Macaca fascicularis: one gene and its partner. The protein of the gene in region 1 interacts with the protein of each later gene in a pairwise test. Links are inferred from orthologs where the notes say so. Each region holds a gene or a part of one and is shown on either strand. Other genes may lie near its edges.

The links.
Region 2: the proteins of PDE4DIPP2 (region 1) and AIRIM interact in binary tests that used the Homo sapiens proteins (3 or more experiments, as listed by UniProt). The two-hybrid records come from large-scale screens. The link is inferred for Macaca fascicularis from reciprocal best matches to the Homo sapiens genes PDE4DIP and AIRIM.

What each region holds. Positions count from the first base shown.
Region 1 is NC_088375.1:114,048,021-114,051,580, forward strand, and holds part of PDE4DIPP2 (myomegalin), read right to left. Parts: intron 3,558-3,560; coding exon 3,345-3,557; intron 609-3,344; coding exon 450-608; intron 1-449. UniProt on the Homo sapiens protein: Functions as an anchor sequestering components of the cAMP-dependent pathway to Golgi and/or centrosomes.
Region 2 is NC_088375.1:197,229,305-197,233,663, reverse strand, and holds the start of AIRIM (AFG2-interacting ribosome maturation factor), read right to left. Parts: upstream 2,819-4,359; 5' UTR 2,606-2,818; exon of another isoform or gene 2,366-2,605; intron 2,167-2,365; exon of another isoform or gene 2,166-2,166; 5' UTR 2,036-2,165; intron 1,542-2,035; exon of another isoform or gene 1,478-1,541; 5' UTR 1,282-1,477; coding exon 1,177-1,281; intron 1,106-1,176; exon of another isoform or gene 554-1,105; intron 439-553; coding exon 158-438; intron 1-157. Other genes in the region: CDCA8 (borealin), read left to right, coding at 3,267-3,360, 3,483-3,611. UniProt on the Homo sapiens protein: Part of the 55LCC heterohexameric ATPase complex which is chromatin-associated and promotes replisome proteostasis to maintain replication fork progression and genome stability.

The sequences.
Region 1 (3,560 bases):
GTAGGTGGCAGAAGAGATCAGTCTCTTCTTAATGCTCCATTTTCCCCTCAAACTTTCATTCCATCATCAAAATGACTCTGGAAGTTTCTGTAGTTTGTCTTCATCTATTAAACTGAGAACAGTAGCCAAATCTTTTGTCTTCCCAACGCCCAGAAAAGTGTGTGACTCACAGAGGTGCTTAATAACTATTTTCTGAATATTAAGTCTTTATAAAAGACTTCATAAAAGACTGCTTAAATCAGGGCTATATGTACTGTTTCTTACACTTGTTAGTAAGCATCTTAATTCACAAATTATACTTTCTATTTATTTTAAATCCTCTTGATTCCCACCTCTCAATGTTTGCCTTATAGCAGGGACTCAACACTGGTGGAATAATATCTTAAATTTATATAAACAAATTTCAGAGTTCTATGAGCCCAGTTTTCATTGAAATCATGTAAACTCACCTGAAGCAATTGCTCCTTGTGACTCAGACTATGGTTTAGGTGCTGGATGTTTTGTTCCCGGGTTCGAATCTCATTGTATTTTTCAGCCTCCCGGGCACGAAGCTGTTGGCTCTTGTTCTGCAATTCTTCTTGTAGCTGCTGCAAGGCTTTCCGCAATTCCTGAATTAAACATATTAAGAGATCTAAAATTGTCACATGGTTATATATAGAGGCCTTAAAATTTTCAAGGTATATAAACTGAAAGAGCGGTAGAGGATGCCATTATTAAAACTGCTATAGAAGTATTATACATGAATTGAATGGGATATGGAAAATTGTAAAAGTTGTGAATGGGTAGGACGTAAGCTTGATAATTATAGTTCAATACTTATTTTTTGGCTTAAAAAGGATACATGTGTAGAACCATTAAATGAGAATCTGTCCTATGGTAAACCTGGATTATTTACAGTAAGCTCAAGGATAAACTATTCCTATCATCCTTTTTTCTAAAGATCTCATAGAGACCATCACTCTTCTTTCTTAGCTTGCCATATTTATCTTTCTGATAAGAAAGTCAGTAACCTTTAAATCATCTGTTACTTTAGAGAGCTCCCAAAATACATATTCTCATCAACCAAACAAATCTTGGGAAAATGTTTCCTTTAGCCAAATAACAAAAAGTTAAGAATTATTTCTACCCCCATCCTCCACCACTCCCTGACCCTGCCCAGACATCTGAAATTTTAATTTTTTTTTTTGAAATGGAGTCTCACTCTGTCGCCCATGCTGAAGTACAGTGGTACAATCTCGGCTCACTGCAACCTCCGGCTTCCAGATTCAAGCATTTCTCTGCCTCAGTCTCCCGAAGTAGCTGGGATTACAGATGCCCGCAACCACGCCTGGCTAATTTTTGTAATTTTACTAGAGATGGGGTTTCACCATCTTGGTCAGGCTGGTCTTGAACTCCTGACCTCATGATCCACTGGCCTCGGCCTCCCAAAGTACTGGGATTACAGGTGTGAGCCACTGTGCCCAGCCGAAATTTTAATATTTCAAAAGGAAATTCAGGGCTAATATTTAATCTCCAAACCACTAAACCAGGGAGATCCTTCAAAAATTACACTTTTAAACCTGAGTGTTAAAGAGCTTAAGAAAAGAGACCACGAAAAAAAAATCTTTTAAATCTTAAACATATACGCTCTAAGCTAACAAGATAAAGGAACCATTTAAGAATTGTGCATTTTGGCCCAGCGTGGTGGCTCATGCCTGTAATCTCAGCACTTTGGGAGGCCAAGGTGGGCAGATCACCTGAGGTTGGGAGTTTGAGACCAGCCTGACCAACATGGAGAAACCCTGTCTCTATTAAAAATATAAAATTAGCCAGGCATGGTGGTGCATACCTGTAATCCCAGCTACTGGGAGGCTGAGGCAAGAGAATCACTTGAACCCGGGAGGTGGAGGTTGTGGTGAGCCAAGATTGCACCATTGCACTCCAGCTTGGGCAACAAGAGTGAAACTCCGTCTCAAAAAAAAAAAAAAATGGCCGGGCATGGTGGGTCACGCCTGTAATCCCAACACTTTGGGAAGCCGAGGCAGGTGGATCACAAGGTCAGGAGATCATGACCATCCTGGCTAACATGGTGAAATCCCATCTCTACTAAAAATTCAAAAAAAAATTAGCTGGGTGTGGTGGCAGGTGGCTGTAGTCCCAGCTACTCAGAAGGCGGAGGCAGGAGAATGGCGTGAACCCGGGAGGTGGAGCTTGCAGTGAGCCAAGATAGTACCACTGCACTCCAGCCTCGGTGACAGAGTGAGACTCTGTCTCAAAAAAAGAAAAAAAGAAAGAAAATAATTGTATATTTTATTATTCAAAAATAAAAAATAAAAGACAGGGCTGATTATTATGCATGTCATTCCTCTGACCTTAGTGATTCTTCCCCACTTTTCTGACTGGTTTTAACCATCCTTCAAGAATAACCTCAGATGTCTCCTCCTTCATGAAGCTTTCCTTGATTCCTTTTCCTTGACTCCTTTCCTAGATATTCCTGTAGGACTCCATATATACATCCCCTTCAGAATTTACCACTCTGAAACTCAGCTTATGCGACTGTCTCTCTTACTGAACTATAAGTAACTTAAATGAAAGGAGCCTGTGCTATTCATCCTTGTATTTCCAGGGCACAACTCAATATGGTGATCACCCCTCAACCCAGAGGGGATACATTCTAGGACGCCCAGTGGATGCCGGAAACCAGATAGCACTGAAGCCTGTGTATAACTGTTTTTTCCTGTACATAGATAACTATGATAAAGGTTTACTTACAAATTAGACATACTAACAGATTAAGAATAACAATAAAATAGAAGAATTACAACAACATGCTGTAACAAAAGTTACGTAAGGGAGGCCAAGGCAGGCAGATCACGAGGTCAGGAGATCGAGACCATCCTGACTAACATGATGAAAACCCGTCTCTACTAAAAATACAAAAACAAAATTAGCCGGGCGTGGTGGCGGGCGCCTGTAGTCCCAGCTACTCGGGAGGCTGAAGTGGGAGAACGGCATGAACCCAGGAGGCGGAGCTTGCAGTGAGCAGAGATCACATCACTGCACTCCAGCCTGGGAGACAGAGTGAGATTCTGTCTCAAAAAAAAAAGTTATGTGAATGTGGTCTCTCTTGAAATATCTTAATGCTTTTTGTCTGTGGTTGACCCCAGATAACTGAAACCATGGAAGGTGAAACTGTGGATAAAGGGGGACTACTCTAACTAGCATATGGTACAAGGGCAGCAAGTGTCGAACTGAAATACTTAGATTATGCAACTGATTCAAGGGTTCAACACAAACTATCCTGCTAAAAAGTTATTATCAGGGCAAAATCAGCATTTAGGGCAATAAAATAGTTAATGATTTACCTGGTTATGTTTCCAAGAAGCCTCTTTCTGCTGTTCACTCTCGTGTGCCGCAGCCTCTACAAACTGCACACATTGTTTGGCGTCAGCCAGTTGGCGCTCTTTCTGTCGTACCACCCTCTGGAGCTTCTGTATTTCCAGCTGGCTGCAGAATAAAGCACTCTGAAGATCAAGCAGAGCCACCTGTTGCTGAGCTGGGGAAGTACCCTCTGAGCTCTG
Region 2 (4,359 bases), about 83 Mb from region 1:
GGTCTCACTGCCCCAGATGGTAAGTGAGGAAGGTTGAGATACCTCCAAATGCCACGCTTTCAAGGAGAAAAACACCTTCTGGACTGATACTAGCTACATATAAAACACCTCGTTTTAAAATCCTTCCACCAGGAAAGAGCACTATGGAGCTGCTTACAGCCTTTCCCCTAGCTTGTCCAGGACGATGTCACCAGCAGCCAGCTGCTTGCGCCTCAGCCGCTCTTTTAAGTCTGGGAAGGCCCGAAGCGCCGGCACATCCTCGAACCGCAGGTTCTGTGCGGCCTGCAGCTGCTCCGCCAGGTTGCTGAGGGAAGACAGGAGGGGCTGGCAGTCCTGCAGGGCACTCTGCCACAGGCCCTGCTGCTCCTCCACCACCAGGAAGCACTTCTTCAGGGCCTCCTGCACGGCAAGCAGAGGCCGGTCTTGAGTCATCTTCTGCTGAAAAAGATAAAAATAGAAAATAACCACGTTGGGGTGGCAAGTCAGTCCGGGAGGCACTGGGTCGAGGGTGGGCGTCATTTCCGTCCTCGTGTTCACACAGGAGTTGTCTCACCTCCAGAAGTGGTTTTTTTTGTTTTTGTTTTTTTCGACACGGAATTTCACTCTGTCGCCCAGGCTGGAGTGCAGTAGCGCTATCTCGGCTCACTCCAACCTCTGCATCCCAGGTTCAAGCAATTCTCCTGTCTCAGCCTCCCGAGTAGCTGGGAATACAGGTGCCCGCCACCACGCCCGGCTAATTTTTGTATTTTTAGTAGAGACAGGGTTTCGCCATGTTGGCCAGGCTGGTCTTGAACTCCTGACCTCAGGTTTTCCGCCCGTCTCGGTATCCCAAAGTGCTGGGATTACAGGCGTGAGCCACCAGCCCCGGCCCTGCCTCAGCTTTCTGAAGGAGATCCTGGCTTCCCCTTGGGAAGGGTAACCTGGATAGGGCAGTCTCCTGCTTCAGAGGATTCCCGGCGGCCAATCGCCGTCTCTTCTCTGACCTACAGTCCTGTCTCCCCTGCCCGAGGCTGCCGGTCGCGTTCCTGAAACCAGCGGAAAAACTTAAAAGTCAAGACACCCAAAGCGTGAGCACCACGCGCCCATAGTCTCTCTGCGCATGCTCACAGGCGACCGCCCCCAAAGCTCCTCCGCAGGCCTGCAAGGCTATTGAGTCGCGAAAATATATCATAGTACCGAAATTACTTCTGGGTACTGTAGTCCAACATGTGGATTGGCCACTCGGCTTGAAGCTTCCTTGGGACTGGATGTTGGGACCGTCCAAACACGGCGACTTCTCATTTGTCAGCCTGCGGCAGTTTAAATTGGGTGGCAGTGGTGGCATGTCCTCTTAACTGTGGAGTCTTTTCCTCTCAGCTTGCGCCTTCGGCTGTGCCTTAATGACACTTTTGACATTGTGTATCACAACCAACTGGCAAAAACTAGTGAATCACGGGCTCCTGACGTGGCAGCTCTCGCTGAGATGCAGGTGGACATCCTAGGTGCCCAGGGAGGTCGGGCACATTGGGGAGTCGGGTGAAGGAAACCCTGAAACCGAGAGGCTGGAAGCCCAATTTGCCCATCATAAAAACACCTGCTGCGGGAAAGCCTACATGAGGTACGGGTTGTCGTCCCCTCTCATCTTGGCCATCTAACTGATGGAGATCCTTAGGCACCCAGCAGACTCGGGTGTCACCCCCACCACCCACTGCCCAGGGCTGACCTTGGGCGGAAGAGCGACATTCAAATATTTTTTGTATATGGAGCAACAAACCAGGGTGGAAGAGAGAGAGAAAGGACTTTCTAGGAAGGGCCAGGCTTGCCAGGGTTTCTATGCTTGGACTGCTCTGTCCCCAAGCTCGCTGGTGCCCATCAGGAGCCTGCTTGGCACCTTTGCTTATTTCTTTGATTGTTCCTGAACTCAGAGGGGGAGAGGCAAGATTATCACTCCCATAGCCTATAACATGCACGCTTAAACACAAACAACCCCTCTGACATGGCTTCATTCCGCATCCACAGGTGAAAAGCACCAAATCCAAACAATCAGGCCACAAACCTGTCAAGAGCTCGCCGGTCTGGCCGTCCAGTCGTCGCCCGCCTTGAGACTCAGCCTGAGCTACAGCTTCGAAACTAGCCTCTAGCCTTGCTGGGTCTCAGCACAACCCTTGAGCAATCCAACCCTGTGGCTGTGGGCAGATGCAAAGATGCACAGTTAGCACTTCCGACAGGACTGCGGCTCAGCGGGGTTCGAGGTCTACACGCCCATTCCCAGGCCCACGGCCAGAACACCCAGAGCTGCCTCCTGCCCTGGGCTCCCTGGAGTGTGGTGGCCGCGGCTCACGCTGCAGTCACCGCGTGGGCAGCTGCCAAGCGCCACTACTCGCACCTGAAGTCGCGGCCCCGCGCTGCACACCCAGTCGAGGCGCCAAGACGCGAACTGGACGGGAGTGGCCGGCCCGCGGGCAAGCGAGGAACAAGAGGGTTCTCCCCACTCGCTGCCCAAACTGGCCACGGGCTGGCGCGCCCACCCCAAAGCCTGCACCCCGGCCCCGCTCCCCTGTCATTCCGCCTCGACCCCTTCCAAACCCTGTCGGGGCTGCTCTGTCTCCGCCGACCCTCCACTTGCCCCAAGTTCGGCCTGGGGAGCTTGGGGCCCTGAGGAGCGCCGACGTAGGCAGCCAACCAGTCAATCAGTCAGAGTGTCACGGCGGCCCCTCGGCTACTCAGTGGCAGCCAGGCCTGGAAGAAGCAGCCGCCGGCCCCGGAGCAGAATCCTACAGCCGACCTGACCTAGTCCGCTCCTAGCCCTTCAAAGATTGGGGTAATGAGGACCCGCCGCAAGGCCTGCCGGGAGTCGCAGTTTGTATAGTTTGCAGCCGGCCAGGGCGGAGCCGGGTGGGTTGGTGGGGAGGGCGGGGAAACAAGCCTGGACCACAACTCCCAGGAGCACCCGCGACGGCGGCGCCCGCGCTGACGCACTCCGGCTATAGGGAGCGCATTGGGCGGGAGACCCCGGGCAGGTAGGAACTTGCTTGTGATTGGATACTGTGGGACGGCGGTTTCTCATTCGTCAGCCTGTGGCTGTGGAGTTTGAATTAGGTGGCGGTTGACGGTAGAGCCGCTCTCTCTCACTGGCATAGCGAGGTTTTACTCAGTCCTTGTCGCGAGACCGGAGGTACGTGCCTGGCGACTTATTCGGGTGGTCCCCATCCGCCCTCCTGGTCCCTACCTGGTTCCTTGCCTCCCTGCCCCATCTCCGCCGCTCCCCGCAGCCTCCGCCGAGCGCCATGGCTCCTAGGAAGGGCAGTAGTCGGGTGGCCAAGATCAACTCCTTACGGAGGCGGAAGCTCGCCTCCTTTCTGAAAGACTTCGACCGTGAAGGTAAAGGGGCCAGGCCGTCGCGGCCTCCTGGGGCGGTCGCGGGATGCTGGCGGGTGGGGACACGAGCTGCACACATTCACCCGCCCCGTGACCCGTGTCCTGTCGGCTCTGCCCTCCCGCAGTGGAAATACGAATCAAGCAAATTGAGTCAGACAGGCAGAACCTCCTCAAGGAGGTGGATAACCTCTACAACATCGAGATCCTGCGGCTCCCCAAGGCGCTGCGCCAGATGAACTGGCTTGACTACTTCGGTAAGAGCTGGAGAGCTTCCCTGGGCGGAGGCCGGGAGCCCCGTGGGGTTAGGTAACACCCTTCAGAAAGGACTCGCTCAGATGTCACCTTTTAATGAAATCTGACATGACCACTTATGGAAAATTGCAGACCCTTTCACTCTCTGTCTCACTTCCGTAAGTCATGTGTCTCCATCCTTTTCTCTAAAGGCCTAGGTAGCAAATATTTTAGGCTACTTGAGCCGGTGGGAGGGGTCTCTGTCGGACAACTTAGCTCTGCTGTTACAGGTCCAAAACAGCTATAGTGAATGGGCATGGATGGGCTGTATTCCAATAAAATTTTAGTTGTGGATACACTGAAATGTGAATTTCACATAATTTTCACACATCAGGAATTTTATTTTATTTTTTTGGAACAGAGTCTCACTCTGTCACCCAGGCTGGAGTGCAGTGCAGTGGTGCGATCTTGGCTCACTGCAACCTCCACCTTCTGTATTCAAGTGATTCTCCTGCCTCAGCCTCCGGAGTAGCTGGGATTACGGTCTCCTGCCACTATGCCCTGCTGATTTTTGTATTTTCAGTAGAGACGAGGCTTCACCATGTTGGCCAGGCTGGTCTCGCACTACTGACCTCAAGTGATCTGCATGCCTCAGCCTCCCAAAGTGCTGGGATTACAGGAGTCAGCCACTGTGCCCAGCCAGAAAATAGTATTTTTAAAAAATATGTATATTTTACCCAACCCATTTAAAAATGAATGAATAAATGACAT